4 linked regions of the Tamandua tetradactyla genome follow. The protein of the gene in region 1 purifies or fractionates together with the protein of each later gene. This does not show direct contact. Links are inferred from orthologs where the notes say so. Each region holds a gene or a part of one and is shown in the gene's direction. Other genes may lie near its edges.

Region 1 (7,657 bases):
TCAAGTTTTGGCCTCCACTGACAGTACCTTCAGGAATTCTATTACAAGCTGTGTCTTACCCATTCCTGCTCACCAATAGCAGCTGGTTAGTTTTTGGTTATACAGGTGAGCACATACTCAGAACACTTGCAGCTTAAAACGTGATTTAGGGAAATAGAAGGCCTTTATAGATGCAGGTATGTAGTAGTAAAAAAGAAAGCTAGTAAATGGGGGGCTTCATGCGTTGGGTCAGGGATTCCTTAAACTGCAGAGAAGCCTCTCTGGTTGAGCAGACTCACCATGTGGCCAACTCTAGGCATGAAGATACCCTCCAGTGGCTTCCACATCCCCTCCTCAGGCCCCTAACTCCTAGCCAGGGTCCACTCTCACTCCCAACTTGAAGCTCCCACCAGAAGACCAGGGCACACACCTCCTTCTTGTCCTTGGATTTGTCAATCTCCTTCTTGAGCAGCTCCACGCGTTGAAAGGACTCTCGGCTATCCGTGCTATAGACCAGGACGTAGCCGTCCGTGCAAGAGAAGCAGTGCCGGGGCAGCTCAGCCCCATCTCGAAGCCCCCGGGTGTCATAGAAACGCACCTGCTCCCGCACCCCCCGGTCTGTCTCAATGGAGCCCACGTAGATGTCTTCCTGTGTCTCAATCATCTCAGAGCCTTGGATAAAATGAGGAGGGTACTTGTTTGAAGGGGAAGAGGGAGATGGAATTGTGAAGGATTGAGAGTATACTGCCAGGCTGAGCAGAAAGGGAGTGGAAGGAATGTCAGGGCAAAGGAGAGAATGACAGAGACAGAATCTGGAAGATTCCAGAGACTGTCCCTGGAATGATTTCAGAGACAGACATTGGTCTCATCCTAAAACTATGCTAGGCAAAAACATGACTTGGGAACTCCCTATCTTGGATATTGGGTTTCCTTCCTCTGGATTCACAGAGAGGATGTTCTCACCTTCAATGATGTAGGGTTGGGGGCAAGCTTTACTCTTCACTTTGCAAAACACATCATGAGTAGCTCTCGGCCTATGCATGTTGGTATCAAATCCTGCTTTCCACTTCTTTCCACCCCACTACCCACTTTCAACAACACTCACCCACTACATGGTTCCCATACAGAAGCTGTTCCAGGATTGAAGTTTTGCCCACAGATGCCTGGCCGCACACAACCACCTTGCAGCTCTTCCCCATGCTTAGCCTTCAACCTTGAGGAATAGAAGAACAGTAGGTGAGGTGGGGGAAGAAAGGAACAAAACAAGTGGCAGACCTCCCATAACCGAGACCCCAAGTTTTAAACCTAACATGGAGCCTCAGGGATTCAACACTGTCCCAAAAATTAGTCAGCGTGTAGTGAACTGATGTGTCCATATATCCACTACTGGACAGTGAGCTGTATTTGATTCATCTTTGTTTTTCTCAGCACATGGCTCAGTAAATGTTACCATAAGGGATAAGGAGAGATGTTGGTTTAACCACTGGCCGGGTCCTTTCTGTGCACAAGATGCTGAGGGAACCAGTTACTAAAGGCGGCTCTGGCCCAGTTTCTTCTTTTTAACCATGACCCTATGGAGAAATAAGCAGGGTTTCTATTTCGACTGGATCTGCCTTAAGCCAGCCTTAACAAAGGGTGAGGGAGATTAAGCAAATCAAGGAGGACAACTGACTTTCCTGTAAAATTTATTTGGACAATCACTATTAACCTCTAAATGCCAGTCAGGTTCATGGTTAAGATAAAGGACACCAGACAAAAAAGGAAGGAGTGAAAGAATCAGAAAACAGGGCTTCGGAAAGGAGATAATATTTGCTGCAGGGGATAATACAAAGACCCTTGGGCTGCAGACCCTTCAGAGAAGGCCCAAACAGAGAAAGCCGCGGAAGTCCTAGAGAGCCCCCAGAAGGCACCTCAAACACAAGCTTCCAGAAAAAGCCATACACAAAGTTTTCGCAGAAAGCAGAGACCACTCCTAAAGGGGAACCCTAAACAGAAACTTCTCTAGAGGAGCGCCCTACAGAGTTTCCCAATTAAGGAATATCCAAGAGAGGCCACCAGAGGGACCTACGCCTTAGATTTCCCTCACGAGGGGACCTCCAGAGTTAAACAGAAGCAGAGACCTGCTCAAAGACAGTGGCCGATTCCGGGAGCCGGACAAGTCCCGCTTCCCAGCTCCGCACCTCGCGAGGTTCTCGCTGCACCCCAGCTGGGCCCCTCCAAGCCAGGACCCGACCAGGGGCGGCACCACCGCATGAACTTCCCTCTTCCTCCCGGGTCGGTCCCAGCTCCGCCTGACCCCGCCCCCGCCTCGCGCCCGCCCCTCAGCTTCCGGCTGGCAAGAAGAACTCCGGCGGTAGAGAGTGGCGCCTGCAGCACAGCGCCTCCAGAGGCGGGCGGGGGAAATGACGGTCGCGACTTTGCCTGACTGTGCGCGGGAGCACCGTAAGATCCAAAGCATACTAACCCTTCGTTTACTCAGTCATTTATTCGTCAAATGTTTTCTGAACACCTACTCTGTGCCACGTGCACGGCCACGCGCTGAAAAAACGCAGACGAATTAGACACTGAAGCTGCAACAGAACTTCACAGACTATAGGAGCTAGACATGTAAACCAACGATTACAGTACAACATGGTAAGTACTATCACAGAGGTGCTATGAAGCAACAGCAAAGGGACATCAGGGAGAATCTTCTGGAGGAGGTCATGTCTGGGCTGATATTTGAAGGGCTTTCAGGGGAAAAGGTTGTTATAGGATGCAGGAAACATGGCAAGAGTCATGGTGTTTTCCGGAACTGCAAGTACTTGGGTTCAGTAAAAATGGTAAAAGGGAGCCAAATAATCACAGGCCTTTGTGGTAGGCCAAAGAGATCAAACCGTATCTTGACAGCAATGGAACGTCATTGATAGGATATATGCCAGTGAAGTGACATGACCAGTTTTCAGTTTTAGTACTGGTAGAAGAGTGAAGATTGGAGAAAGATGAGACTGGGGACCAATTAGGAGATTATTGTGGTATTCCAAGTTAAATAAAATAAACATGACAGCCTGAATTGGGATGAAAAGGAGGAGATAGATTTGCGAGATATTTGCTAGGAAAATCAACAAGACGTGGTGATAAGTTGGGAGTTGAGTGAAAAATAGAGAGTTCATGATGTCTCCCAGCTTTCTCATTTGGTTGTGGGGTGAATGGTGAATCCATGCAAACAAGAAAGTGAATCCAGGGAAAGAGAATCATGTGTAACATTTGTTTTTTTCTGTTGTTGAGGGGTGGGGAGAAAATAAAGTCAATGTAAGTATGTTAAGCCTCAGAGATTTGTGAAACATCCAATAGATGCCCGGTAGATAGTTAGATATATACAGATCTGGAACTTAGAAGAGAGATCTAGATTGGAGATAAATATCTAGGAGTTATCAACAGATGGAAGTTAAAACTGTGACAGTAGATGAGTTGACTTAGGTATCGAGGACACAAAGCAGGAAAATGGTCAAAGACACGTCTGCCTCCTGCATTAGACTGTTGAGCCATTAGCAGGCAGGTAAGTTGCTCTCCCAGCCCAGCCCAGAGCAGGCACTTCCAAGAGGGCCAGTGAATGACTGCTTGGATAAATGACCTGACCTATGTGATTTTAGCTCCTTCAGCACTTGGGAGGCAGGGACCATGCAATCGGGGTATGGACACCGGCACATACTGTTTTACTGGAGGAAGGGAAGATCCTTTTCAAGTTCCCTTGCCTACTTCTTTAGTTCCCCTTAGTTTTAACTTTTGACCTCAGAAACTACCCCTCCCCCCACCCATTTAATTCAAAGCCCACGAATTTTATTGGTTTGGGTGAGGGAAGTACTACAAAGATGATTAAGCTGTCTCTTTGTCCTCTGAGTTCCCAAGCTAGACTGCATTCAGACAGCGTACTGAGCGGGAGTTTATGTGAAGGGCGGGAGTACTGGGGGACCCTGTGGAGCAGGGACCTGCCTTATAAACTCCAGGGCACGGACGGGGCGCCGTGTTATCCTCCCTAGGCGTAATGCTGAGGTGGCACTCCCAGGAGGCCGACATAAAAGTAGGCTCATAAAAGGGTCAGCGTCATTAGGGTGATGAACCAGTTGGTGCTTGGAGATCTGGGGGGATGAAAGGCGCGGAATGAAGACGCCCTGCGTTCCCCTGGCTTGGTTGGGCAGGGTTTCCAAGTGCCGACGAAAGCGGAGGAACTGGGCTCGTAGTGTGTCTTCTTGCCTTTCTCGGGAGGAAGCCTTGGCTACTCTCCAAGGTCAGGAAGGTAGTACTGGGAACTCTTTCCCTCCAGATTCCTGGGTTACTGGGTCCTTACGCAAACCCAGACTCCCCTAGGCTTTACAGGAGACTCTCTAGGGCTGAGTTGCTATGGCAACGAGGCCCTCCGACTCCTAAGGAAAGCCAAGGTTTAGAAAGGCGACACCTTCCAGCATCTCCTTCCAACCCAGGGGCAAAGTGGCGCCCCCTACGCACAGGAACCGTTCCTGGGCTCCCGCCCCTGCACGGAGACCATCATGGACCGCCGGAGGAGGGAGGCCGCTCTGGCCTCACGTGGAGCCTCTCGCTGGTAGAAGGGCCCGAGGGAGCCCCTCTGGGCGCGCCGCGGCTGAGCTCCTCGATGCTCCTGCCGGAAGTGCTCTTCACCGCCCGCCTCCCACCCGGCTCTCTGGTCTCGGCGGTAAGATGGCGGCTACCGCGGAGTGCGATGTGGTAATGGCGGCGACCGAGTCAGAGCTGCTCAATGACGAAGAGGCGAAGAGGTAACCGGGTGGAAGGGTAGCGGAGGGAGCGAGCTTCAGTTTGGGGTAACCGGCTCCTGCCATGATGCAGCCCCAGCGGTTGGGACCATGCCCCGCCCTCCGCGAATCCCTCCCCCCCCCATCTGAGATCAGGTCCGGATGGACCCCCTGAAGGAGCGCTCTTGGGGGTCGGTCTTTTCCTGCAGCTTCCGCCTGGCAGCTGAGGCACGTCCTGTTCTCCAGCTGGAGAAAGGTCGTTCTTATTGTAGAAGCTGAGTCTCTGAAGGGGGGGATGGATCTCAGAAGTCTGTTGCGGGTGGGGAGCGGCGCGGCAACAATGACGACTTCCTTACATTGCCCCGGACTCCCGCCTTCTCCTGCTAACTTCTGTGCGTTGTTTTCTGTCAGCATTTTGCATCTCCGAAGCCCCTGCTCTTCTCAGCTCACTCTCCAGTAATTACACCCCAGCGACCTGTAGTCTGGGTCCGAGGTGATTGAATGTCTCCATTGTTAACCCGGTCAGCTCTGCCACTCCCTGGTTACCCCAGAAGTTGAAGATGATAGAGAAAGGAGGAAGGTTAGGGACTTGCTTGTCTTTCCCAAGCAGGATCCTCATTTCTCCCAGCTCTTTTCTCATAAGTGAAGCAACTGCTTGGGTGACGCTGGCAGTGCTGGGCAACTGCAGTGACTCGAGATTACCAGGTCCGACTAGTTGAGGGAGCAGCTGCTGAGTGAGTGATTTTCGCGAACACTCTGGATTCTGGGTAAAGCTAAGGCAGGTTATGGAAGTGTGAGGTACACAGTTGTGGGTGTCATACTTCGTCTAATCCAAAAGCAGAGTGGACAGAAAGGTTCTGGGAGTTTGAAGCCCTTTCCTTATCAACTGCAGGTTATTTTCATCCTTTTGTTTAGGGTTGTCTACAATACTCAGAGTTTCTCTCCCGCATATTTCAGTCTGAGTGATTTGAGGTGATGATGTAGAATTCATTTATGAAGTCTGAAATCAGGGTTCTGAGATTTCCACTATCTAAACATAAGAGGTACTCAGTAAGGTGAATAGTTTTTGAGCTTAAGGGAACTTACCACAGCCATTGCCTCAAGTTCCTTATCTGTTGGGAGCCTAAGGGTTTTGGTGGAGTGTGGTAGGTCCCTGGGATATCAGAGAAGGCAGGATACCAGAGTCCAGTCTCTCTCTGTTCCTTGTTTTGAGCTTTCACATTTTTCCTAGTTCTTTCCAATATATGAGCAGAATTAAGCATCATCTGGTCATATACTTTATTAAGGAATTGCAAAATGGGAAATAAGAACACCTCCCAATTTAGACCTTAAATTGAATGGTAAGGATTTCCTTTACGTGTGTTTTTGGAAGAGTTCTGTGGTTTTTTTGTGCTATAACTAGAGAATTGGACTATGTGTAATTTTAAAAACATCCTTCCCAGTGTAAATTTCTGTTGTAGGGGCGGTCCTTATTTTAAGCCTCATTTCAAAGTCTTCTATTAAACTTTTTTTTTTTTTAAAGGAAAATCCTTTTCCTTAAAAAAAAGTCACAGGTTGATTTTTTGCCATATAAGACACCTTTAGGAGGGTAAATAGGATCTGTTAGACTGGAAAAAAACTTATCTTATTTTTGTGGGTTTTTTTGTGGGGGGGTTCGTGTTTTTTTAATTTTTTATTGACAAATCTTCACAAACATACAGTCCGTACATGGTATACAATCAGTGGCTCACAATATCATGACATAGTTGTGTATTCTTTGCCGTAATCATTTAAAACATTTTTTTATTAATTAAAAAAAAAATTATAACAAACAACATTCTTAACATATGATCATTCCTTTCTACACATACAAGCAGTAATTTACAAGATCATCATCATCATGATCATTTCATCATCATGATCATTTCTTAGAACATTTGCATCAGTTCAGAAAAAGAAATAAAAAGACAATAGAAAAAAATTCAAACATACTTACCTCTTACCCCTCCCTTTCATTGATCACTAGCATTTCAATCTACTAAATTTAGAAAAAAACTTATTTATGTATGATTTTCCAATGCTGAAAATGGAGTACAGATTTAGAAACTTTGGAGGGAGATTGTTTTACATTTTGTATATGTCCTGGAATCCTGTGTAGCCCTAATAGAGGTAGGGACAGGGCATACAAGGGCATACAACTGCCCCTGTATAGTCTGGCTTGTTCAGAGACATTTGACCAAGTTCCTGTTTCTCTTGTTAACAGTCCTACTACCAGTTCATTTGGGCACATGGGAGTTAGTGGGTCTCTTGGGTTGTTTATTGGAGGTCTAGCACATGAGCTTTTGCTGGAGTCCTGCAAGAAGTCTTTCCTTCCTTGCATCTTTGCTCAAGGGTATCTTGCTGCTACTGCTAAGTTTTGAGAGTCCTACCAGAGAGGAAATGAAAGGAACTTTTAAGACATAGGACCTCATCATTGTAGCATTTTAAATGGCTACATACTTTATTTTTTTAGCTTTTCATATCTCTAGAGAGAAAAAAAAGATGGACTTCAATTTTTTAGCTTGCCATTCTGACAGTTCTTTTCCCACATAGCAGCTGAGAGGCTAAAATAAAAATGTATTATTTGGTATTCCAAAGTAGATCAGGTTCTCTGTATGAAGATTATTTGTTTCTCTTTGCCCATCAGAACAGATAAAGCTACTTAGGAGCCAGAGGATGAAATTTCAGAAGTTTTAAATTTCAACTAATTTAAGATACTAGCTTCACATTTTCCTGAGACGTTGTGAGTGCTTTACCTTATTGGCTAAGGTGACTAGCAGGGCCCGTGCCATTTTTTCTCAAATTAAGGTTCTTTGGTCATAGCTCCTGGGCTGGGAAGCAGCTTGCTCTCGCTAGGTAATCTTTTATTCTAAAATTCAGAGATTTCAAGTTGTTCATTAGTAGAGAAACAC
Region 2 (7,244 bases), on another chromosome or scaffold:
CAATATCATCACATAATTGTGTATCCATCACCATGATCAATTTTAGAACATTTGCATCACTCCAGAAAAAGAAATAAAAAGGAATGAGAAAAACCCATACATCCCATACCCCTTCTCATTGACCACTAGTATTGCAATCTACCCTTTTTTTTTTTTACCCTTTGTCTCCCTTATTATTTATTTTTTTGTCTTGTTTTTTTTCACTCCTCTGTCCATACCCTGGATAAAGGGAGCATCAACCACAAGGTTTTCGCAATCACACGGTCACAGTGTAAAAGCTATATAGTTATATAATCATCTTCAAGAATCAAGGCTACTGGAATATGAAATACAGTTCAACGGTTTCAGGTAATTCCCTCCAGCCACTCTAATACACCATACACTAAAAAAGGATATCTATATAATGCATAAGAATAACCTCAAGGATAGCTTCTCAACTCTGTTTAAAATCTCTCAGCCACTGACACTTTATTTTTTCTCATTTCTCTCTTCCCCTTTTGATCAAGAAAACTTTCTCAATCCTGTGATGCCAGTCCCAGCTCATCCCAGGAGTTCTTTCACACACTGCCAGGGAGATTTACACCCCTGGGAGTCATGTCCCACATAAGGCAGAGGGCAGTGAGTTCACCTACTGAGTTGGCTTAGAGAGAGAGGCCCCATCTGAGTAACGAAAGAGGTTCTCTGGGGATGACTCTTAGGCATTATTATAAGTAGGCTTTAGCTTCTCCTTTGAGGCAATAAGTTTCATAGGGGCAAACCCCAAGATCAAGGGCTCGGCCTATTAAATTGGTTGTCCCCACTGCTTGCGAGAATATCAGGAATTCCCCAGGAGGGGAAGTTTAAGATTTCCTCCTTTCTCCCCAGTTCCTCCAGGGGGCTTTGCAAATACTTTTTTATTCTCGTAGATGGATTTTTGAGTCTGGCTTCTTTCACTAAACACAATGCATTTGAGGTTTGTCTGCATTGTTTCATGTAGCAGTCACCAGTTCTTTTTTATAGCAGAGTAGTATTCCTTCATACATACAGATCACATTCGTTTATCCACTAACTCATTGGAGGACATTCCGGTTATTTCCTTTTGGTGATTATAGACAAAACCACAGTGAGCACCCACGGCGGATATGAACAGACTTCATTTCACTCAGGTGTTTCACGGGAGTGGGATTTCCAGATCATACGGCCGGCTTGCTCTTGAAAGTCTTTGGATGTACAGGTGAACAGTTGATGCACTTGTAAGGCTATTTTTTTTTAATTAAAGCTCTATTATCACCTGCATTACATACTACTTAAGTATGCCAAGCCTGCTACGCTTCAGCACTTTACTGAATGGGTAACCTTAGACAAGTCATGTAACCATTCAGGGCCTCAGTTTTCCACCTGTAAAATGGAGGTAACACTAGTTCCACTTCAGAGGCTGTCCGGCAGCTTAAATGAATTCATGCATGAACACGCCTGGCACAAAGCACAGCCAGGTCAGCAGCAGCTGTCATTAAAATATTAATTACCCGGCCTCTCTCACATGGTCCACCTAGCAACCTCAGCAGGGACCGTCCTCCCTTATTCCCATTTTACAGAGGAGTGACCTGAAGCTCCAAAAGATCAAGCAAGTTGTGTAAGATCAATGAGTCAGTAAAGAAGCATAAACAATGGGTCCAGGATTTGCACAGTGGCAGGCTGACCTCAGCCCTGCCCTCTTAGCTTCTCAGAGAGCCCAAGATTGGCTGAGGTTTCCACGGAGGCCACTTTCCCTGTACTATTCTGAAATGACCACTCATTTGCCTAGGTCAAAGGAGAGCTTTGTTTTTTTTAAAAAAAAAAAAAACTTCTAAAACGTGTCCCTGGCTTGTTTCAGGAGGAAGGGAGTGACCCGTGGCCCAGCGTTTCCTTGCCCTCGGGTCTGGAAAGAACCATTTGTAAAACCAGAGCCAAGTTAAGTCCTGGCTAAGACCTATGGAGGCCAAAACATCAGCAAAAAGATGTCACTGCCACATTTGTAACTCCCAATTACGTCACACTATAAAATCCTAGAGTGTAAGGAAGTCCATAAAGCTCTGTTTTGTTCCCCCACGATGGTGACTCGCCTCCTATTCAGCTATTATTTGTTTACATAACTTTTTTTAAACATTTTTTTATTATGAAATATAACATATACCAAAAAGCAATAAATTTCATAGTACAATGGAACAAATAGAACAGATTTCAATTATTGCTTTGGGTTACAGTTTCACAATTTTAGGTTTTTCCTTCTAGCTGTTCCAAGACACTGGAGATTAAAAGAAATACCAATATAACCATTCAGCAATCATACTCATTTGTTAAATCCTGTCTTCTCTGTTATAACTCCTCCTTCTCCTTTGATGCTTCTGCCAATCTTTAGGGGTATTTGGGCTATGCCCATTCTAGCTTTTTCATGTTGGAAAGGGCTATCAGCAGTATAGGATAAGGGAATGGAACTAGTTGATGTTCTTGGAGAGGCTGGCCCCTCTGGGTTTCAGGACTTATCTGGCCTAGGAGCCCATCTGGAGGTTATAGGTTTCAGGAAAGTTACTCGAGTGCATGGAACCTCTGTAGAAGCTCAGATAAAGTTCTTTAAGGTTGGCAGGAATGGTTTTGGTTGGGGTTTGGCAAACCTAGGTAAATAGCAATATTTCACTGAAGCTTGCATAAGAATAGCCCCCAGAATAGCCTCTCCAATCAATATTCACACAACTTTTTAAGTATCAAATTCTCTCTCCCTTATAACTGGTTCAGGACCCTTGCCCTGTCCTAGTCCAAAGTCTTTGCTGACAGGGTTTTCTTGGGGTCAGTGAGTGGGCAGGGAGGTCCAGGCACCAGGAGAAGGCTGCTGGGTTTTCTTTCTTGGAAATCTCAGCCTGCACCAGAGCAGGCAAGCAGTCACCAGAGGTTTTGCTGTGATGCTGCCCAGGAACGGGGTGGCTCAGCAGCCCACCACTGAACAAACTGGTAATTCACCCTTTTCACAGCTGTCCTCAGCACTTGACAAATGTCAACTCTTGTAAACTTCAGAACAAAAGATACAACAGTTATCCCATTGTACAGATGGCACAACTGAGGCTGAGAACAGTCAAGGACCCAGCCGAAACTCACGCAGCCAGGAAGTGCTGGAACTGGGAATCAGACTCCACCTTCTGGCTCCAGAGGCTCTAGAGCGCTGGCCTCCTGGGCTGTCCTCCAGAACCGCCGTTCACCCTGGCCCTTCTTCCCTACGCCTCTTTCCGCACCGCTTTTCCTCATCAATTCTGTCCTTGGTCAGGGGCACGCCAAACTCAGACTGTTCCACACATGAGCAAATGGAAGCACTGAGAGCTGTGTCCATCCCCCAAATCAAAAAGGTAGTGGGGAGAGAAAAAGAAGCAGCTGCGTCCGAGCAACCAGGAATATTTATGAAAGGTGCACAGCTGGCCAGATTTTGTCCCAGGCACCGGGTCCCAGTGGAGACCGGACCAGGTCCCTGCCCTGGCAGAGGCCACAGGCCCCGGGGTTTGTGTGGGGGGGGTCAGGATGAAAGCCAAGGGGCCAGATTATTTCAGATTTCAGTGGCAGGTGCTTTTGAGATATCGGTCAAAGCAAAATGTAGGAGGGAAGGGACTGGAACACTTCTCCGGAAAGGTGACCTTTGCATCACCTGTATGGTGAGGTCAGGGGTATTTTTTATGCCCATATTACAGGGGGCGGGGTGGGGCTGGGGGGTGGGGCTGGGGAAAGGAGAGGCACTGCCACTCCCCCTGAGCCACCCGGCGGGGCCCTGGGATTTGGCGGGCCGGCGGATTAAACAGCTCCTGGGGACCCGGCGGAACATATTCGGAGGGCGGGCCCACAGCTAGTCCCGCCCCTTCCCGGCGAGGGCGGCCGGTCGTAGGGTGGGAGCGCGTCATCACTCGCGGAGTCGCGCAGAGGGCGGGGCTCGCGGCCAGCCTAGCCGGCGGGCGGGGCGGAAGCAAACCCCGATTGGCTCTCCCGGGGGAGAGCTGGGCGGGGCCGCCTCCAGCCGGGGGGGAGGACGCGCCGCAGCGAGGCGTTGCCGAGGCTGCTGGCGGGAGGGGCGGGGCCGCGCGCCGTCGGCCGTTGGCGGCACAGCCCCGCCCCGGACGTCGCGCGTCGCGGGGCGGGCGGCGGCGATTGGCCGGCGCAGTGCGGGGGGCGGGGCGGAAGGTTCTGGAGGGGGCTGGCGGGCTCTGGAAGCTTCCGCCGGGCGGGTATATACAGTCTGGGAGCGGGCGGCGGCGGCGGAGCCGGGGCGCGGCAAAAGCGGGGCGGCGGGCCGCAGACGGGGGCTATGGGCAAGGACTACTACCAGACGCTGGGCCTGGCCCGCGGCGCGTCGGACGAGGAGATCAAGCGGGCCTATCGCCGCCAGGCGCTGCGCTACCACCCGGATAAGAACAAGGAGCCCGGCGCCGAGGAGAAGTTCAAGGAGATCGCCGAGGCCTACGACGTGCTCAGCGACCCGCGCAAGCGCGACATCTTCGACCGCTACGGGGAGGAAGGTGTGTGCGTGCGGCCGAGGCGCGCCTCCGCCGTTTGACAGGCGGGGAAACCGAGGCTTGGGGGGCGATCCCAGCCTGCCCGGGGAGCTGCCGCCGCCGCCTGCCCGCGGGGTCCCCGCCCTGGGAGGAGGAGCCCTGGCTGCGCTGCTCGCCCAGAAGCTTCTAGCAAGCCCGGGCTACTCCTCCCTGGGCGCCGCCGCCCACGGTCCCGGGTGCACCTGGCTTCACCTGGGCGCACCTGGGCCCGCGGCCCGCATAGGGCACGACCTGCGGGGAGGGGGCGCCTATCGCCCCCCCCCCGCCCCCCGCGGGCGACTGCGGTGTTCACCGGGCCCGGCACGTAGGAGAGGCGGGCTAGGATGGCCCTCCTCAGGGGGAAGAGAAAGAGATTTTCCTGTTGTCCACTTGCCCCTTGGTGACTCACCCTGGCTTTTGGGCTCAAGAAATGAGCCGACTTTGTGTAAGATGGTGGCAGCTAATGTTGGTACAGGATGGTGACAACTTGAAAACGTCAGTTTATTTCTTATTTTTTTCTACTCTTCCCATGCACACCACTAGCCGGAAGATGTCAAGAGCAAACAGGGAGGGCTTATACTGACTCCGGCCTTTGCATCTGGTTTCTGGTAAATCCTTGAAATAACGTTGGTGGGGAGGATGAACCAGCCAAGAGATGGCCTAGCCTGAGTGGCACCGAGGGATGCCCAACCCGGGGCTTAGGCTGGTATCCACTGTCAGTCTCATCTGGTGCTGCAGAGGCTTCGGCTTCTTCCTTGCTTTTCTTAACAGATCCCACAGAATTTGTCTTCGGAGGGTTCCCAAGTTCTTTTCTCTTATGTAAACCTTTCCAGAGAAGTTCTGGCTAGCTGCCTGACAACTTCCGGTTTTGCTTTTCAGGCCTGAAAGGCGGTGGTCCCAGTGGTGGGAGCAGCGGTGGTGCTAATGGTACCTCTTTCAGCTACACGTTCCACGGAGACCCCCATGCCATGTTTGCGGAGATCTTTGGTGGTCGAAATCCCTTTGACAACTTTTTCAGCCAGCGGAACGGAGAGGAAGGCATGGACATCGACGACCCATTCTCCGGCTTCCCCATGGGCATGGGTAGCTTCACCAGCGTGAACTTTGGCCGCTCCCGCCCCTCCCAGGAGCCCTCCAGGAAGAAACAGGATCCTCCTGTCACCCACGACCTCCGGGTCTCGCTTGAAGAGATCTATAGCGGCTGTACCAAGAAAATGAAAATCTCCCACAAGCGACTGAACCCTGACGGAAAGAGCATTCGCAACGAAGACAAGATCTTAACCATTGAAGTGAAGAGAGGGTGGAAAGAAGGGACCAAAATCACCTTCCCCAAGGAAGGAGACCAGACCTCCAACAACATTCCAGCCGACATTGTCTTTGTTTTAAAGGACAAGCCACACAATATCTTTAAGAGAGATGGCTCTGATGTCGTTTACCCAGCCAGGATCAGCCTTCGGGAGGTAAGGTGCTAGGTGGCACAGTGTCTGCGGTGGACAGGGCTATTCTTTGAAGCAGGCAGTATTTCCTCAACAAATAGTTGTAAGGGCTTAGTGTGTGCCGGCCTCAGGGGATATGGCAGTGAACCAGACTGACTAGGGCTCTTTCAGAGTTTTGTCCCAGTGATCTGAGTAGATTTGGAGGCAGGGTCCCAGCTGCAGGGGTCTGATGGATCTCACCTGTCTCCAAACTTCTGGGCAGGAGTAGTGCTTCCTAAGCCATCCTCCATCTAATGTTGTCCATTTGCTTCCCAAGGCTCTGTGTGGCTGCACGGTGAACGTCCCCACCTTGGACGGCAGGACCAAACCCGTCGTTTTCAAAGATGTCATCAGGCCCGGCATGAGGCGAAAAGTTCCTGGAGAAGGCCTCCCCCTGCCCAAAACACCTGAGAAACGCGGGGACCTCATTATTGAATTTGAAGTCATCTTCCCTGAAAGGATTCCCCAGACGTCAAGAACCGTACTGGAGCAGGTTCTTCCTATATAGTCACCTGCACTCCCCAAGGACTGACCAGGGACCTTTCTGGAGCGTGAGGCTTTCTGGACCGTTCTACCAGTTGTGGGCCCATGAGAGGGCGGGGTGGCCCAGGGAGGGCTTTCATACTGCTGAATGTTTTCCAGAGAATATATTACAATCTTTCAAAGTTGTGTGCTAGACTTAAGTGGTTTTTCAAAAGATAGGGTGGTAGGTGGTGGGGAGTGCAGGAAAAGGCACCTGGTTGGCCCCCCTGGGTCCTGCAGCCCCTGCCGGTGTGAGCCCCCCACCCCTCCTCAGCCTACAGGTGGGGCGAGAGGCAAACCCACAGCTGGACTTGATCCTCTGTAGTCCTTTTGCTTGCAGCTGTTGGGGTTGGGTCCAGCCTGCCACCTTAGTTACCAGACCGTATACTCTTCCCATTCCGTTATGTGATCAGTCCGTGTTTTATTCTGTATTTATCTTCAATGTCTTGCTGTTCCCCTGGAGAATGCTGTCTTCTCTTCTGTCATCTCAAATTGAGAACCTAGATTATTTCTACAGTACTGCCTGGCCGGCACTCACAAGCAATATCTCCTTCCAGCGGGACCAAGGGAGCTGGCCTCAAGTGAGTGAGTCGTGCAGACAGCCTCTGCTGCTGGGGTCTGGGGTTCTGGCCGGAGGGTGGAAGAGGCCCTGGGACCCCAGCTCTGGTGAGGCTGAGCGTGTTCATTCACAGCTCACACCCTTTCTTTTCCTGTAAGGCAATCT
Region 3 (7,529 bases), about 35 Mb from region 1:
AAAAGAGTCCATAGAACTACATTACCCAAATAGTGAACCCTAAGTTAAACCATGGTCTTTAATTAATAGTACAATTATAAAAATGTTCTATCATTAATTGTAACAAATGTTCCACACCAATGCATAGTGTTGATGACGGTGTGGTGTATGAGAATCCAGTATTTTAAGCATGATTGTTCTGTAAACCCACTTCTCAAAAAAAAAAAACTTGGCAAAAGACTTGAACAGACACGTCACAAAAGAAGGTATACAAATGGCCAGTAAGCACACAGAAAGATGGTCAACATTATTATCATCAGAGAAATGTAAATACAACCACAATGACAAAGCACTTCACATCTATTAGAATAGCTAACAATTGAAAAGACTGACAATATCAAGTGTCAGTGATGCTGTAGAGCAACTGGAACTTTCATACCTTATTATGGAAGTATAAAATGAAACAATCGAAAAGCTTTGAGAGCAGCACACACAGAAGCTAAGGGAAGACAAAGAAGTTCAGAAAGAAAGCCAAAGACAATGCAGCCAGAAACTAAAAACAAAAGAAACCCAAGACAAAAGAACCAGCACATGCCACATGTGAATCCCATGATCACCAGCTTGTCTTAAGGAAGAAGGGATCATCTTGAGGATACCTTGATTTGAACATTTTCACAGCCTGAAAACGGTTAGCTTGTAAACTATTTAATCCACATTGTTAAAAGTCAGCCCATTAAAAAAAAAATTTAAAAAAGTCAGCCCATTTCTGGTCTACTGCATTTCAGAAACTATAGCTAACTAAAAACAGATATCAACACACAAATATCAGCAGTGTTTCCATACATTATAATGAGCAATCTGAGGAGGAAATCAAGAAAAAATTTCCATTAACAATAGCAGTTAAAAGAATCAGATATCTAGGAATAAATTTAACAAAGGATGTAAAGGACCTATAAAACATTGCTCAAGGAAGACCTAAATAAATGGAAGGACATTCCGTGTTCATGGATTGGAAGACTAAATATTGTGAAGAAGTCAATTCTACCCAAACTGATTTACAAATTCAACACAATCTCAATCAAAATTCCAAAACCCAACTTTGCAGAAATGGAAAAGCCAATCATCAAATTTATTTGGAAGGACAAGGGGCCCCAAATAGGCAAAAACATCTTGAGAAGGAAGAACAAAGTTGGAGGACTCATACTTTCTGACTTTAAAGCATATTACAAAGCTACAGTGGTCAAAACAGCATAAAGATAGATATATTGATACCACCATAAAGATAGATATATTGATCAATGGAATCAAATTGAGAGTTCAGAGATAGATCCTCACATCTATGGTCAATTGATTTTTTAGAAGGCTGCCAAATCCACTCAACTGGGACAAATGGTCTATTCAACAAATGGTGCTGGGAGAACTGGATATCCATATTCAAAAGAGTGAAAAAGGATCCCTATCTGACACCTTATAAAAAAAAGTAACTCAAAACGGATTAAAAAAAGCCTAAATAAAAGAACTAGGACATAAAACTCCTAGAAGAAATTGTAGGGAAACATCCTCAAGAGCTTGTGGTAGGAGGTGGTTTCTTAGACTTTACACTCAAAGCACAATCAACAAAAGAAGAAATAGACAAATTGGGCCTCCTCAAAATTAAATACTTTTGTGCTTAAAGGACTTCATCAAGAAAATGAAAAGGCAGCCTACTCAATGGGAAAAAATATTTTGAAATCATATATGTGATATGGGTTTAATAGCTAGAATATATAAAGAAATCCCACCATTCAACAACAAAAAGACAAACATCCCAATTTAAAAAGGGGCAAAAGACTCGTATAGAAAATTTTTCGAAGAGGAACTACAAATGGCTATAAAGCACATGAAAAGATGTTTAATTCACTAGCTATTAGTGAAATGCAAATCAAAATCACAGTGAGATATCAACTATAATGGCCACTATCAAAAACACAGAAAAACACAAGTGTTGGAGAGGATGTGAAGAAATAGGAACACTCATTCACTGCTGGTGAGGATGTTAAATGGTGCAACTGTGGAAGATAGTTTGGCAGTTCCTCAGGAAGCTAAATGTAGAATTGCCAAATAATCTGGAGAGTCTGCTACTTAGGTATATCCTCAAAAGAACTGAAAGCAGAAGAACTAAAACAGACATGTGCACACCTATTTTCACAGCGGTATTATTCATAATTGCCAAAAGATGAAAAGAGCCTGTCCATCACCTGATGAAAAATAAAATGTGGTATATATGTACAATGGAATATTAATCAGCTGTAAGAAGGAATGAAGTCCTGATGCATGAAACAACATGGATGAAGCTTAAAGACATTCTTTTGAGTGAAATAAGCCAGACACAAAAGGACAAATATTGTATGATCTTACTAATATGAACTAATTAAAATGAACCAACTCTAGGAGTTAAAATCTAGAGTATAGGTTACCAGGAGATAGAATTATGGATAGAGATTGGGGAGCCAATGCTTAATTTGTATAGAATTTTTAATAAGGTTGATTGTAAATATTTGGAAATAGATAAAGGAGATGCTGGCACATTACCATGAGTGTAATTAACAGCGCTGAATTATGAGTGTGTTCACAGTCGAAAGGGGAAGTTTAGGATTGTGTATGTCACGAGAAGGAAAGCTAGAGAAAAACCATGGGACTATATAACATACTGAATCGTGTTGTAGACAATGACTGTGGTTAGTTGTACAAATGTAAGAATGGACTCACATGAATTAGAAACAAATGTACTTCACTATTATAAGGTGTTAATAATAGGGTGGTATCTGGGAAAAATACAACTAATTAAAACTATAGACTAGAATTATGTTCTTTCATAAATTGTAGCAAAGGTACTATACCAATAAAAAGTGTCAAAAATGGTGGGGGAGTTATAAGAGGTATGGGATTTTTCATTCTGGAGCAATCAGAATGTTCTTTAATTGATTGTGGTGATGAAGGCACAGCTCTGTGATTACACTGAGTCATTAATTGTACACTTTGGATGAATTGTATGGTGTGTGAATAAAACTGTCTTAAACATTGGGCAACAGTGGCTCAGTGACAGAGTTCTCGCCTGCCATGCCAGAGACCTGGGTTCGATTCCCAGTGCCTGCCCATGTAAAAAAAAAAAAAAAAACTGTTTTAAATATTTTTTTAAATGATAAAGGCTAAAAGTCAGGAGAACATCATCTTTAAAGTACTGAAAAGGAAAAAACTGTCAAACCACAAACCTATGCCCAATGAAAATATCCTATAGTGAACGAAATAAAGATATATTCATAAAAATAAAATTCAAGACAATTTATTACCAGCAAATCTGCCCAACAAAGAAAAAATTTTTGATCAAATTCTTCAGACTAAAGAGAAATGAGACAAATGAGAACTCAGATTTCAGGAAGAAGTGCAATTCCTCAGAAACACGGTAATAATAAAAGATACATTTTCCTCTTCTACTTTTCTAAATACCTGTGACTGTTTACAGCAAAAAAAAAAGTGCATTTAGTAGTTTGTATATATAAATGCAATAATGTAAAAACTATAGCTTGAAAGAGTGATGTTAAACTAACTCTCCAGTTCCAAGATTCTTTTGGGGGGCGGTGGGGGACCGGCCCCGCATGGTCCGGGAATTGATTGCGGATCTCCTGCATAAAAGGCGAGCATTCTACCACTGAACCATCCGTGCACCCTCCAGTGGCAAGATTCGTGCCCAAAAAACAAACAAACAAAAAAACCCACAATCATTTTGGAAAGCAGTCTGGCAGTTTCTTATACACATTACTAGGACCCAGCAACTCCACTCCTAGCTGTTTACCCAAGAGAAATAAAAATGCAAATTGATACAAAAACTTGTAAAGAAGCTTTATTCATAATTGCCAAAACCAAAATCTAAATATCCTTCAAAAAGAGAGAAAAATTCACCTATCCAATCCATCCATCCATCCATCCATCCATCCATCTAATCGTCTTTTAGGACCTGAGGATTTCCCTGCTTGCCCCCAGACTATAAATTGCAGGAGAGCAGGTTCCCTCGTACTCCGTCCCACCTGAAGCAGGTGCGCAAGTTGGGCGAATGAATGAACGCAAGCATACATTTGTAGCCACCATCCCTTCGGCCTTGTATAGTCCCCTCATTCCTTCCACCGACTTCGCTGGCTGGACTAGGCCGGACCCGGTCCGCAGCTGGCTGGGGAAGGGGACCCGGCAGACCCGCCTCGCCCGCGGGCTGAGGAGAGCCCGGCGCCCGAGCAGTGAGCAGTGTGCGCAGCGCGGAGTCCCACCCGGCGGCGGCAAGGTCCGCTGGGACGGACGACGCGGGATGGACCGACAGACTGGTGGACAGCCCCGACAGCCGGACGCACCCGGCCGAGCATCCAGCCCCACCCGGCCCAGGGCGACCCCCCGACCCAGGGCTACGCGCAGCACGGCGGGGCGGGCCGAGGGCGGCGGGGGCGGGACAGGACAGACGAGAATCCCGCGGAGGTGAGGCCGGGGACCGTCCCGCCCCCGAAGGCAGACCCTGAGCCCCGGCCCCGCCCCGGCCGCCGGGGTGGAGGCTCCGGCTCAGAGCTCCGCGCTGCTCCCCACAGCACGCCAACCCGTGCGGGCGTCGCCTTCGGCTTCCAGGGTGAGAGGACCGGGGTGGGATTGCCTTCCGAAATCTTGGGTCCCGGAAATCGGGCGGGGACCGGGATGGGCTCGGCTGCGGGGCCTCCTGACTCAGCCCCCACTCTCAGATTTCGGGGTTTCCCTCCCCGGTTGCGGGCGCGTAACTTCCTCACTCCCGCCCGGACCCCCTCTCGCAGCTGGCTGGGCCCGACTCTGGCCCCGGCGGCCCCAGGCCCCTCTCGCTACCCTAGGTCCCTCCTCCCAGCTTCTGCTCTGTCCCGTCCGGACCTGGCTGGGGGCCCCTCGGTGCCCTAGTTACGGGACAGGGGCGGGGCGGAGGGATTCGGGATGAAGGACTACGGCAGAGGATGGAAGTTAGAGGGGAGTCTGCGGAACTTTGCAGACCCTTGGGCGGTGATTACAGGTTGTGGTCTAGGTGGGTGGAGGAGAGGGCCTGTGGGAGCTGGAGATCCCTGGGTTTGGGATACTTGAGGCAGGCCACCTCCCTGATACCTCCTGGTATTCCTAGGATGATGGCGACCCCGGGGAGCCCATTCTACAGTGGGGGTGACCTGGACTCAAGCCAGTTGCAGATGGAGCCCGATGAGGTGGACACTCTGAGGGAGGGCGAGGACCCAGGTACTCAGGAATGAAGACCTTCAGGGAAAGGAGGGCCAGGGGACTGTGGCTTCCTGGGATCTGCACTCCTCTGCTTTCTTTCCTCCTAGCTGACCGGATGCACCCCTTTCTGGCCATCTATGACCTTCAGCCTCTGAAAATGCACCCCTTGGTGTTTGCCTCTGGAGTCCCTGTCACAGCCCAGGTGGTGGGCACTGAAAGATACACCAGTGGCTCCAAGGTGCCTGGGCTGGTACCAGGGTGGTGGGTAGAGGGAGGGGTGGCCAGAGTGGAGGGCTGGGACCTGACCAGGGCCGGTCGACCCTGTTCCTCACTCCCCCAGGTGGGAACCTGCACTCTATATTCTGTCCGTTTGACTCATGGAAACTTCACCTGGACAACCAAAAAGAAGTTTCGCCATTTCCAGGAGCTGCACCGGGACCTCCTGCGACACAAAGTCTTGATGAGTCTGCTCCCTCTGGCTCGGTGAGAGGGAAGGAGCTGTTTCCTGTGAAGGGCAGGTGCCCCTCACTCTGGCAGCATGGACTACCCCAGCCCTCTTCTCTCCTTTCTTCCTCTTTCACCCCCAGATGCTTTCCTTCCCCTTAACTCTGGCCACTGGTCCCCCTCCGCTAACGTTGATGGCTGGGAAAACTTCCCTGCCCAGCTCTCCATGGTTCTGTGCCAGTATCTCAACTGGGCTGGATGCCCGAAATGCCCTTGGCAGCTTCCCCCCTTCCCTTGTCTCCATTCCCGGGGCAGGGTGGGGGTTGGGGGTGTGCTCCCTTCTGCCAGTCTCTAGGCCTCTTGCCCTCCCCAAAGGTCCCACCTTCAATACTCCAGAGATCCAGGCACCCAGCCTCCCAACTCTTACCTGTCCCTCCCCCATCTCTTCCACAGCTTTGCCGTTGCCTATTCTCCAGCCCGAGAGGCAGCCAACAGGGAGATGCCCTCTTTACCCCGAGTGGGTCCCGAGGGTTCCACCAGACATGCAGCTAGCAAGCAGGTGCGAATGGACACCAGGGCCTCTGGGAAGGTTTGGCATATAAATGGCTCTGGGCCCATCTGTCTTTCTCTCTCCCCTCATCCCCACTCCAGAAATACCTGGAGAATTATCTCAACTGCCTCCTGGCCATGTCTTTCTACCGCAACTACCATGCTATGGTAAGGTTCAAGAGCTGGATGCTTGGGTCCTTTGAGAAGGAGCAGTATAATCAGACCTCCAAGGGAGCAGAGGGCCAGAGTTGCTTGGGGCTGAGAGACTGAAAGTTTGGGGTCTCTTCTCTGAGCCTTTGTTTCCCTCTGCAGACGGAGTTCCTAGAAGTCAGTCAGCTCTCCTTTATTCCAGATCTTGGCTCCAAAGGCCTGTGAGTGTCTGATACCCTTCACCCGGCCATCTGCAAGATCTCTTTAGATCTCTCCCTGACTTGCGAATGGAAAAGACAGTGCGGGACGGGCTGAGGTTCTGGATTCCTCATCAAGCATCTCTTCCTGATTTTCCCCACAGGGAGGGGGTGATCCGGAAGCGCTCAGGGGGCCACCGGGTCCCTGGCCTCACTTGCTGTGGCCGAGACCAAGTTTGTTATCGCTGGTCCAAGAGGTGAGAGCTAGGGTAGAGCAGCCGGGCAGGGTGGGGGGTGGGGGTGAGGAGGGAGATCCTGAAGGCAGGGAGGAACGGTTGGAGCCCTTCCGCTCCAGGTGGCTGGTGGTGAAGGACTCCTTCCTGCTGTACATGTGCCTCGAGACCGGCGCCATCTCGTTTGTTCAACTCTTTGACCCTGGCTTCGAGGTGCAGGTGGGGAAGAGGAGCACAGAGGCACGGTATGGGGTCCGGATCGACACCTCCCACAGGTAAGACTTTTCTGAGGAGAGGAGAGCCAGCCCTAGGGCCCCGAGGGCTGATGAGGGGGAGAGACCTTGAAAAAAGAGGAAGGAATTTCCATCCTCCTTGATCTGGCCATGATTTTGAAACAGGCTGCTTAGCCCAGCTGGATGCCTGGGGCTGCTCTTCGAGTCTGGGGCTAGAGAAAGGGGGTTGAAAATAAGGAGCCCAGGGGAAGGGCTCTTGATATAAAAGAAAAGGAATTCCATTCATTCTGTTATTCTTCATTCAGCAAACCTGAGTGCCTGGTACAGCACCAGGTGCTGGGAACCCAGCTGCAAATGAGGCAAATATATGCCCTGTCACTGTAGAGGTGTGAGTTAGGGATTCAGGGAGCAAGTGGGAAAGAGGTGCTAGCCCCGCTGGGATGGTCTGTGTTGTGGCTGTGGTGTGGTCTCTGGTGTGGAGGGGGAGGACTGGTGGT
Region 4 (7,284 bases), on another chromosome or scaffold:
ACTGGCCTGTCTGTTGCTGTGAGGACATTTCATGGACTTAAATTATGGTTACCTTGACTGCATCCACAGCTAATTGTGTTTGTAATCAGCTAAGGGGAGTATCTTCTGCAATGAGTGATGCTTAATCTAATAACCAGAAGGCTTTTTTTTTTTTTTTTCACAGTTGTAATTGTCTTTTATTTTAGGTCTGAGTGGATTATCACTTTTCTCTGTTCATACTGAATGATACTAATGACCTCTTTGTAGCAGGTCTACAAAAATTGGTTTTCACAGGGCATGACTATAACCAGAAGGCTTTTAAGGAGGATTCAGAAGAGACAGTTACTCTTCCTGCTTCAGCCAGTGAGCCTCTCCTGTGGAGTTCGTCCAGACCCTCCATTGGAGTTGCCAGCTTCACAGCCTGACCTACGATTTTGGACCCATCCATTTCTATGGTTGTCCAGCCAGCCTCTCCTGAGAGTTTGTTGAGGAGCTTCATCAACCAGCTTGTAACTGGTTCTACATTCCCACCGTTATGTGAGACACTTTTATAAATTTTATATCTATGGATATCTCCTGCTGATTTGTTTCTTTACAGAACCCCACCTAATGAAGGTGGTAACTTTTGATTAGAATGTTTCCATGGAGATGTGTCTCCATCCATTCAAGGTGGGGTAGCTTACTGGAGTCCTTTAAGAGGAAACCATTTTAGAAAAAGCTTTAGATGGAGAGAGCCACACAGCCAGAGATCTTTGGAGATGCAGGAGAGCACCCCTTATTTATTTATTTCTTATGAAATGAAATGAAAAACCCAGGAGAGAAAGATAGAAGATGCCAGTCATGTGCTTTTCCAGCTGACAAAGGTGTTCTGGACCCATTGGCCTTTCTTGAGTCAAGGTATGTTTCCCTGGATGCCTTAGTTTGGTCATTTTCATGGCCTTAGAACTGTAAAATTGCAACTTAATAAATTCCCCTTTTTAAAAGCCATTCCATTTCAGGTATATTGCATTCCAGCAGCTTTTATAAACTAAAACACTTGGCATAAAAAAACACACGATGACTCATGAAGTATAACTGAAGCACTAAGTAAAATGTAATGATGCATATAAAAACACACATAAATTATTCTTTCAAAAGTTAAAGTATCATAGAAGTGCAAAGAATTATTACCATACAAGGCATTAGTGTTGCCCACCTCTCTCAAGAGACTGTAACTTCTCTTCCACAGTCTTGACAGTTCCATTCTTCCTGTGGCATTTCTCATACAATCTCGCATTACCATTTGCATATGTTCTTGTACTGGTTTGTTTCTTAGCTTTTTATGCTGCATGCCTAATTTTTAAAAAAAATATTTTTATTGTCAAATCTTAACAAACATACATTCTTGACGTACAAATATTCTGTACATGGTATACAATCAAGTGGCTCACAATATCATCACATAGTTATGTATTCATCGCCATGATTATACTCCTTACCCCCCTCTCATTGAGCACTAGTATTTCAATCTACTCAATTTATATTAATCTTTGTTCCCCTATTATTTGTTTATTTTTCATCCATATTTTTTACTCATCTGTCCATACCCTAGATAAAAGGAGCATCAGACACAAGATTTGCATAATCACACAGTCACATTATAAAAGCTGTATCATTATGCAATCATCTTCAAGAAACATGGCTACTGGAACACAGCTCTACAGTTTCAGGTACTTCCCTCTAGCCACATATACCATAAACTAAAATGGGATATCTATATAATATGTAAGAATAACCTCCAGGATAACCTCTCAACTCTGTTTGAAATCTGTCAGCCACTCATTCTTCATTTTGTCTCATTTCTCTCTTTCCCCTTTTGGTCGAGAAGGTTTTCTCAATCCCTTGATGCTGAATCCCAACTCATCCCTGGATTTCTGTCCCACGTTGCCAGGGAGGTTTACACTCCTGGAAGTCATGTCCCACATAGAAGGGGAAGGCATGAGATCACTTGCCCTGTCAGCTTAGAGAGAGGCTACATCTGAGCAACAAAAGAGGTTCTTTTGGGGTGACTCTTGGGCTTAATTTTAAGTTGGCTTAGCTTATCCTTTGCAGGGATAAGTTTCATAGGGGCAAACCCCAAGATCAAGGGCTCAGTCTATTGATTTTGTTGTCCCCAGTCTTGTGAGAATATAAAAAATTCTCCAAATGGTGAAGTTGAATATTTCCCTCTTTCTCTCCATTTCCCAAGGGGACTTTCCAAATAATTCTTTATTCACTGTCCATACCACTCTGGGATTTATTGAGGCATCACATGAACCTGGACAAACCAACAAAATCTCATGCTGTGTTCAAGATTCCATGTACTTATAGTGTTCATTTAAACTGACCAGACAAGTTAAATTAGGAATACATGCCTAACCTTAACTAGAACATATATTGTTTCTTTGCAGTCCACTCAGTTGGTGTCAGTGAACAAGGAGAGAGTGGATGTTAAGGGGACAAGTCTAGAAGGATAATTTGGGGACAGATTGCTGAGGGCATTTCAAACACTGGAAAGTTATTGGGTGTTTCTGAGCCAGAGACTAACCTGTCCTTTGGGAAACTAATTTTGGTGCCAGTATGAAGAATGAATTGGAAAAAGGGAAAAACTGGAGGCCAGACTAGACATTTAGGAGACAGGGAAGATGCAGAATAGACAGGTTTGGCTTTTAATTGATTGTAGATGGTGAAGAAGAGAAGTCCAGAAGCCTCCTGGGTAGTTTGTCTGCCTAACTGAGAAAGGGAAAACAAATGGTTAAGGATTTATTTTCTGTTTGCAGGAATGAAGGATGGAGGCATATGTTGATAATACTAGTTAGTGCTGGTTCTATCTTTTTTTTGTATCATTCCTCTTATGTGACACCAACTGAAAAGGTTTTGATTTTCTTCTTTTTCTTCTCCAATGGACTTTAAGAAATGACTTTCTTTTGATTCCATTGAAGCCTAGATTGTTTATTATTAGAACAATATGCACATACACTGCTTTAGTTTCTTTTTTTAGTAGTGTTTTAAAAAAAGTTTTATTTATTTATTTATTTATTTATTTTTGCATGGGCAGGTGAGAACTCTGCCTGTTGAGCCACCGTGGCCTGCCCTGTTTTAGTTTCTTAGGCTGCTTAAAGCAAGTACCATGAAATAGTTCAGCTAAAACAATGGGAATTTATTAGCTTACGGTTTTCAGGCTGAGAAAATATCCAAATCAAGATATTATCAAGGTGGTATTTCTCTCTCTCCTTACAAAGGGTTCACCCACAGGACTAGAGTAAATTTTAAAGTTTTTCAGGGGTACACACAACTTCAAACCACCACATACACTTTCACTCATTAACTCCTAGCAAGAGATTTCTTACACTTATCTGTTTACTATATTTCAAAGTTTTTTGGGCATTTTAGAAAAAAAAATCCAGTCTCTAAAAGATGACATTTGCCAATGAGTAGTTTAATTTTACCAGGGCCGAATTCCTTGCGGTATAAATTATCTGCATTTAACGTCTTGCTACCAAGACAATCCAATGATAGCATGGAAACAAGTTATATGTAACAGGTAACACATACTTTCAGAAAAAGGCCTAAGTTTTATTTTTATTTCCGCAATGAGGTATAATCAAGAAGTTATGTTGGCTTGTGACTTAATAGTCAATCAAGCACAGGAGGGAGAAAAACAATGAGTTTTCAACAAAGCGTATGTTCAATTCCCATTTTACTTGCCATCTCATGAGGCGGTTCTGTTGCAATATCTTTTTTAAATTATTAAAGTGTGTTTTTAAGGAGCAAGCCTTGCCTCGTGTACAGCTGAAATCCAACAACAAAAATGCAGTGTCCCCTTAGCCCTACTTGACCCATAAGGTGAAGAGGCGGTTGCTTAGAGGTGCTCAACACTATACTTGGGAAGCGCCGGGCTCCCTCCCGGCCGGCCCTGGGAATTGGGGGGTGCGAGGGTGGGGAGGCGTCATGAAGCTGCCTACGCCCCAGATGGCGAGCTCCGCGGGATCCAGGTCAAGAGGGGGGCGGCTGCAGGGAAGCAGAGCTGCCACTTAGATGTGCCCGTGCTCAGTAACTCCTGCCTCCCCTTTTTTCATTTCTAACGTCCCTTTCCGTTCAGCCAGAGCTGCCAAGGGGCTGCCCCCGCCGTTCCCCGACTAGTCCTCAAGCGGCTCCAGCTGCGGAGACCACGCGGGCGCAGCGCGGAGACCCACAACCCCTTTCCCGGCGCTGGCGGCGGCGCGCGTGCGCACGAGCGGAGTCACGCGGCTGCGCGGCGCCAGGCGGGACGGGACCCCGGGGGCTGTCATTCGCGGCTTGGGTCTCCGCCCTCAGCCGCGCCGGGCGGTTCTGGCTCCTCCCTCTCCAGCAGCCTCAGCCCCACGATGGTGTTCGAGTCGGTGGTCGCGGACCTACTGAATCGCTTCCTGGGGGATTATGTGGAGAACCTGGACAAGTCCCAGTTGAAGCTGGGGATTTGGGGCGGTAAGCGAGCGGGTAGCTGCAGGCGGGCTTCCTGGGCCGAGGAGGCGACGCCTGGGGCTCCGCCAAGCTCCGCCTCCTTCCCGGGCCCTGCTCCCTTCGCCGCCAGGGACTGCTCAGCGCTGGGCGCCCGGAGGATTTCCCCTCCCGGGGCGGCAGATGCGGGGCTTAGAGGCCTGTGTTCACCCCCGCCGCACTCGGCCCCCCGGGGCTCCCGGCTCCTGATGCGGGAGATGCGGCGGGTCCGCCCTGGCACTGCCCCAGTTCGCTCCGTTTGGGTCACTGAGGTCTAAATCCTTGCCCACCCTGGGGCCCTGTCGCTGTCCTGAGTTGGCTCCACGACATGAAAAGAAAATCTTTCCCGCTCTGGTTGTGGCAAGGATGGCTGCGTGGTCATAAACACTAACCAAGTGGTACCAAGGGAAAGGAAAAAGGAGATTGCATTTCGCAGTTATCTTTTCTGGCATTTTATAGAGAACAAGAACTAGCTGCCTTCTTTTTAGAATTGGGGTTTGTAGATAAGTAGGCGACGATCTTTAACAAAGGCACGTCAGTGGGGATTCTTAACTGTTAAGGATATGAGTTTTTGAGAAAGCGATTTCTTTCCTCTGTTTACTTTTCTTTCCTAAGAAAGAGGGTTTTCAGATTTGTTTAGAAGGGATAGACAGTCAAGCTACGACCAGCATCATCGTTAATTATGCTTGGTTGCCCAGGAATTTACGCAAGCTTTCCTATTCTAGAGGGTTGAGTGTATAAGAGTAGACAATAGTATGTGTGCACACTCTTAAAAAAGCTTAATTATTTGCACTAATTACACATTAAGCTTTGGGGGCATTAAGGATACTTGCTCACTCTATCAGAGTTGGGAATTGTGTCAGCTTTGCAGGGAAATCGAAAGCACAGCTCAGATGGATGGACTGCTTTGAATTCAGTCAACAAATAGTTATAGAACTGCACTGTCCAATAGCATAGTGCTACTGTGACTATTGAGCGTTTGAAATGTGGGTTGTCCCCACATGTGCTGTAAAGTGTAAAACACATGCCATCTTTTGAATACTCTGAATAATACTCTCAATCAGGAGAAAAATAATATAAAGTCCTTCACTCATATTTTTAATGTTGATTGCATGTTGAAAATTTTGAATATATTGAGTTAGATAAATACATTAACATTCATTTCCCTTGATTCTACTTTTTTAAAAACGTGGCTACTGAATAATTGATAATAACGTATGTGTTAGTAGAACCATCAGCCTGCCCTGACTTGTGGAGGAACCTCATTTTAATAGATTGATTACTGAGCTTTTGATTGGTTCAGTATGGTTTGCATATCAATCCATGCATGTTTACATCCCCCACCACAATAAATATGCGAAAGAAAGGCAAATAAAGAGAGACGTTTAAGGAATTTGAATGCCTAGTGCCCTCTAAAGTTCTAGTATTTCTTCAGATTACTATCTAATAGTATAAATTTTTTCTTCTAGTTTGAAAACATTACTTGAAATTTGAAAAAGCACTGCACTGCACTGGCGTTTAGACAGCCTGGGTTCTAGGCCTAATGAGGTGTTGTGTGGGGCGAGCCATTAATCTCATTGGGCTTTAGTTTCTTCATCTTTATTTAAACCTTAATGGAAAAATGTTTTTAAATTATGGAAATTTTAGATTATGCAGTATAATGTAACATTCCCATGTAACCACTACCCAAATTTTAATAAGTGCTCTATTTACATTAGGTTCTTTTTTTTTTTTTTAGTAAAGTATATGTATACAAAGATTTTTTTTCCCCACTAAATCTTATTCTCTTTTTCTTCATTTTAAAAATTAGGGATTGAACTAGGTCACATCTAAGGGTCCTTACAGTGCCAATACTCTGTGATTGTAAGTGAAAATATTTTTATTATGAAATTATGGAGTAAATTTTTTCACAACAGAAATTAAAATGCCCCAATGTTATGTCATTCCTTCTGTCCCCCTCCCCCCCTTTTTGGTAAAATCTGGGAAAGGCGACTTTGTTTTCTTTCATTCTGTAGGTGCTATATCGCAAGATAAAACCAGCTTTTTTCACAATAAGATATTCTGCCAGTGGACAATATCAAATTTATTGTTGGCCTGACCAAATAAACCCATTTATTTAATAAATTATATCCAGTCAAACTCTGATCAGGGATTTCCTCAGCTTTATCGGCACATGACTCTGCTTAGCCAAAGTTTTGCTGCCGTTTAGTTTTGTCGATGTTGTAACGGAAGTTAGAAGCCATGAACTTTTGTAGTTATTGCTCAATAGATTGTCTTTATAAGCTTGAATTCCCTGTTGAAAGAGAAGTCCAAAAATCTGTTTGACTGTTTCTACTCTTTGAAAATATTGCTTAAAAAGTTTGTCTTAAACTTTTTTTGGTAAACAAGTGGAAATATTAAGTTAATTTGATAAAATAGCAATTAAGTTACTTTAACGAAATGACTGATGTTGGTGACATCCATAATATTGAAATGTTTTACAAAGAATTGCAAATTTTAAACAGTCTTATTGACAGTGCTTTAGCAAATAATGTTTACGTGTTTATAGTGTTTGGCTTTTTTCAGTTTTGCCCTAAATTGAATTTACAAGTCTAGAGACTTGGAAGAATTCAAGCCTATTAATATTCATGTACTTGATCTTGCTAGTCTTTAGAAATAAATGTTGATACTTCGTAACTAGGTTTTTGAGTAACTGAAGGCAGTGGTTTTTCAACCGAGATAATTTTGCCTACCAGGGAACATTTGGCAATGTCCGGGTATGCTTTTGATTGTCATGACTTGGGAGGTGCTACTGGCATCTAGTGGGTG

Evidence for each region.
Region 2: the proteins of DNAJC7 (region 1) and DNAJB1 purify together in Homo sapiens (affinity purification with mass spectrometry; 3 studies listed by BioGRID and IntAct, with this or other methods). This does not show direct contact. The link is inferred for Tamandua tetradactyla from reciprocal best matches to the Homo sapiens genes DNAJC7 and DNAJB1.
Region 3: the proteins of DNAJC7 (region 1) and PLD2 purify together in Homo sapiens (affinity purification with mass spectrometry; 3 studies listed by BioGRID and IntAct, counting the BioPlex papers as one, with this or other methods). This does not show direct contact. The link is inferred for Tamandua tetradactyla from reciprocal best matches to the Homo sapiens genes DNAJC7 and PLD2.
Region 4: the proteins of DNAJC7 (region 1) and VPS13C purify together in Homo sapiens (co-immunoprecipitation; 4 studies listed by BioGRID and IntAct, counting the BioPlex papers as one, with this or other methods). This does not show direct contact. The link is inferred for Tamandua tetradactyla from reciprocal best matches to the Homo sapiens genes DNAJC7 and VPS13C.

What each region holds. Positions count from the first base shown.
Region 1 is NC_135332.1:25,200,255-25,207,911, forward strand, and holds the start of DNAJC7 (dnaJ homolog subfamily C member 7), read left to right. Parts: upstream 1-4,621; 5' UTR 4,622-4,674; coding exon 4,675-4,751; intron 4,752-7,657. Other genes in the region: NKIRAS2 (NF-kappa-B inhibitor-interacting Ras-like protein 2), read right to left, coding at 410-651, 1,085-1,178. UniProt on the Homo sapiens protein: Acts as a co-chaperone regulating the molecular chaperones HSP70 and HSP90 in folding of steroid receptors, such as the glucocorticoid receptor and the progesterone receptor.
Region 2 is NC_135337.1:88,457,054-88,464,297, forward strand, and holds the start of DNAJB1 (dnaJ homolog subfamily B member 1), read left to right. Parts: upstream 1-4,203; 5' UTR 4,204-4,297; coding exon 4,298-4,508; intron 4,509-5,402; coding exon 5,403-5,983; intron 5,984-6,275; coding exon 6,276-6,506; 3' UTR 6,507-7,244. UniProt on the Homo sapiens protein: Interacts with HSP70 and can stimulate its ATPase activity. Stimulates the association between HSC70 and HIP. Negatively regulates heat shock-induced HSF1 transcriptional activity during the attenuation and recovery phase period of the heat shock response.
Region 3 is NC_135332.1:60,581,464-60,588,992, reverse strand, and holds the start of PLD2 (phospholipase D2), read left to right. Parts: upstream 1-4,527; 5' UTR 4,528-4,624; intron 4,625-5,134; 5' UTR 5,135-5,135; coding exon 5,136-5,244; intron 5,245-5,333; coding exon 5,334-5,464; intron 5,465-5,566; coding exon 5,567-5,709; intron 5,710-6,123; coding exon 6,124-6,229; intron 6,230-6,321; coding exon 6,322-6,387; intron 6,388-6,531; coding exon 6,532-6,590; intron 6,591-6,730; coding exon 6,731-6,823; intron 6,824-6,921; coding exon 6,922-7,074; intron 7,075-7,529.
Region 4 is NC_135340.1:78,224,881-78,232,164, reverse strand, and holds the start of VPS13C (intermembrane lipid transfer protein VPS13C), read left to right. Parts: upstream 1-4,281; 5' UTR 4,282-4,364; coding exon 4,365-4,464; intron 4,465-7,284. UniProt on the Homo sapiens protein: Mediates the transfer of lipids between membranes at organelle contact sites. Necessary for proper mitochondrial function and maintenance of mitochondrial transmembrane potential.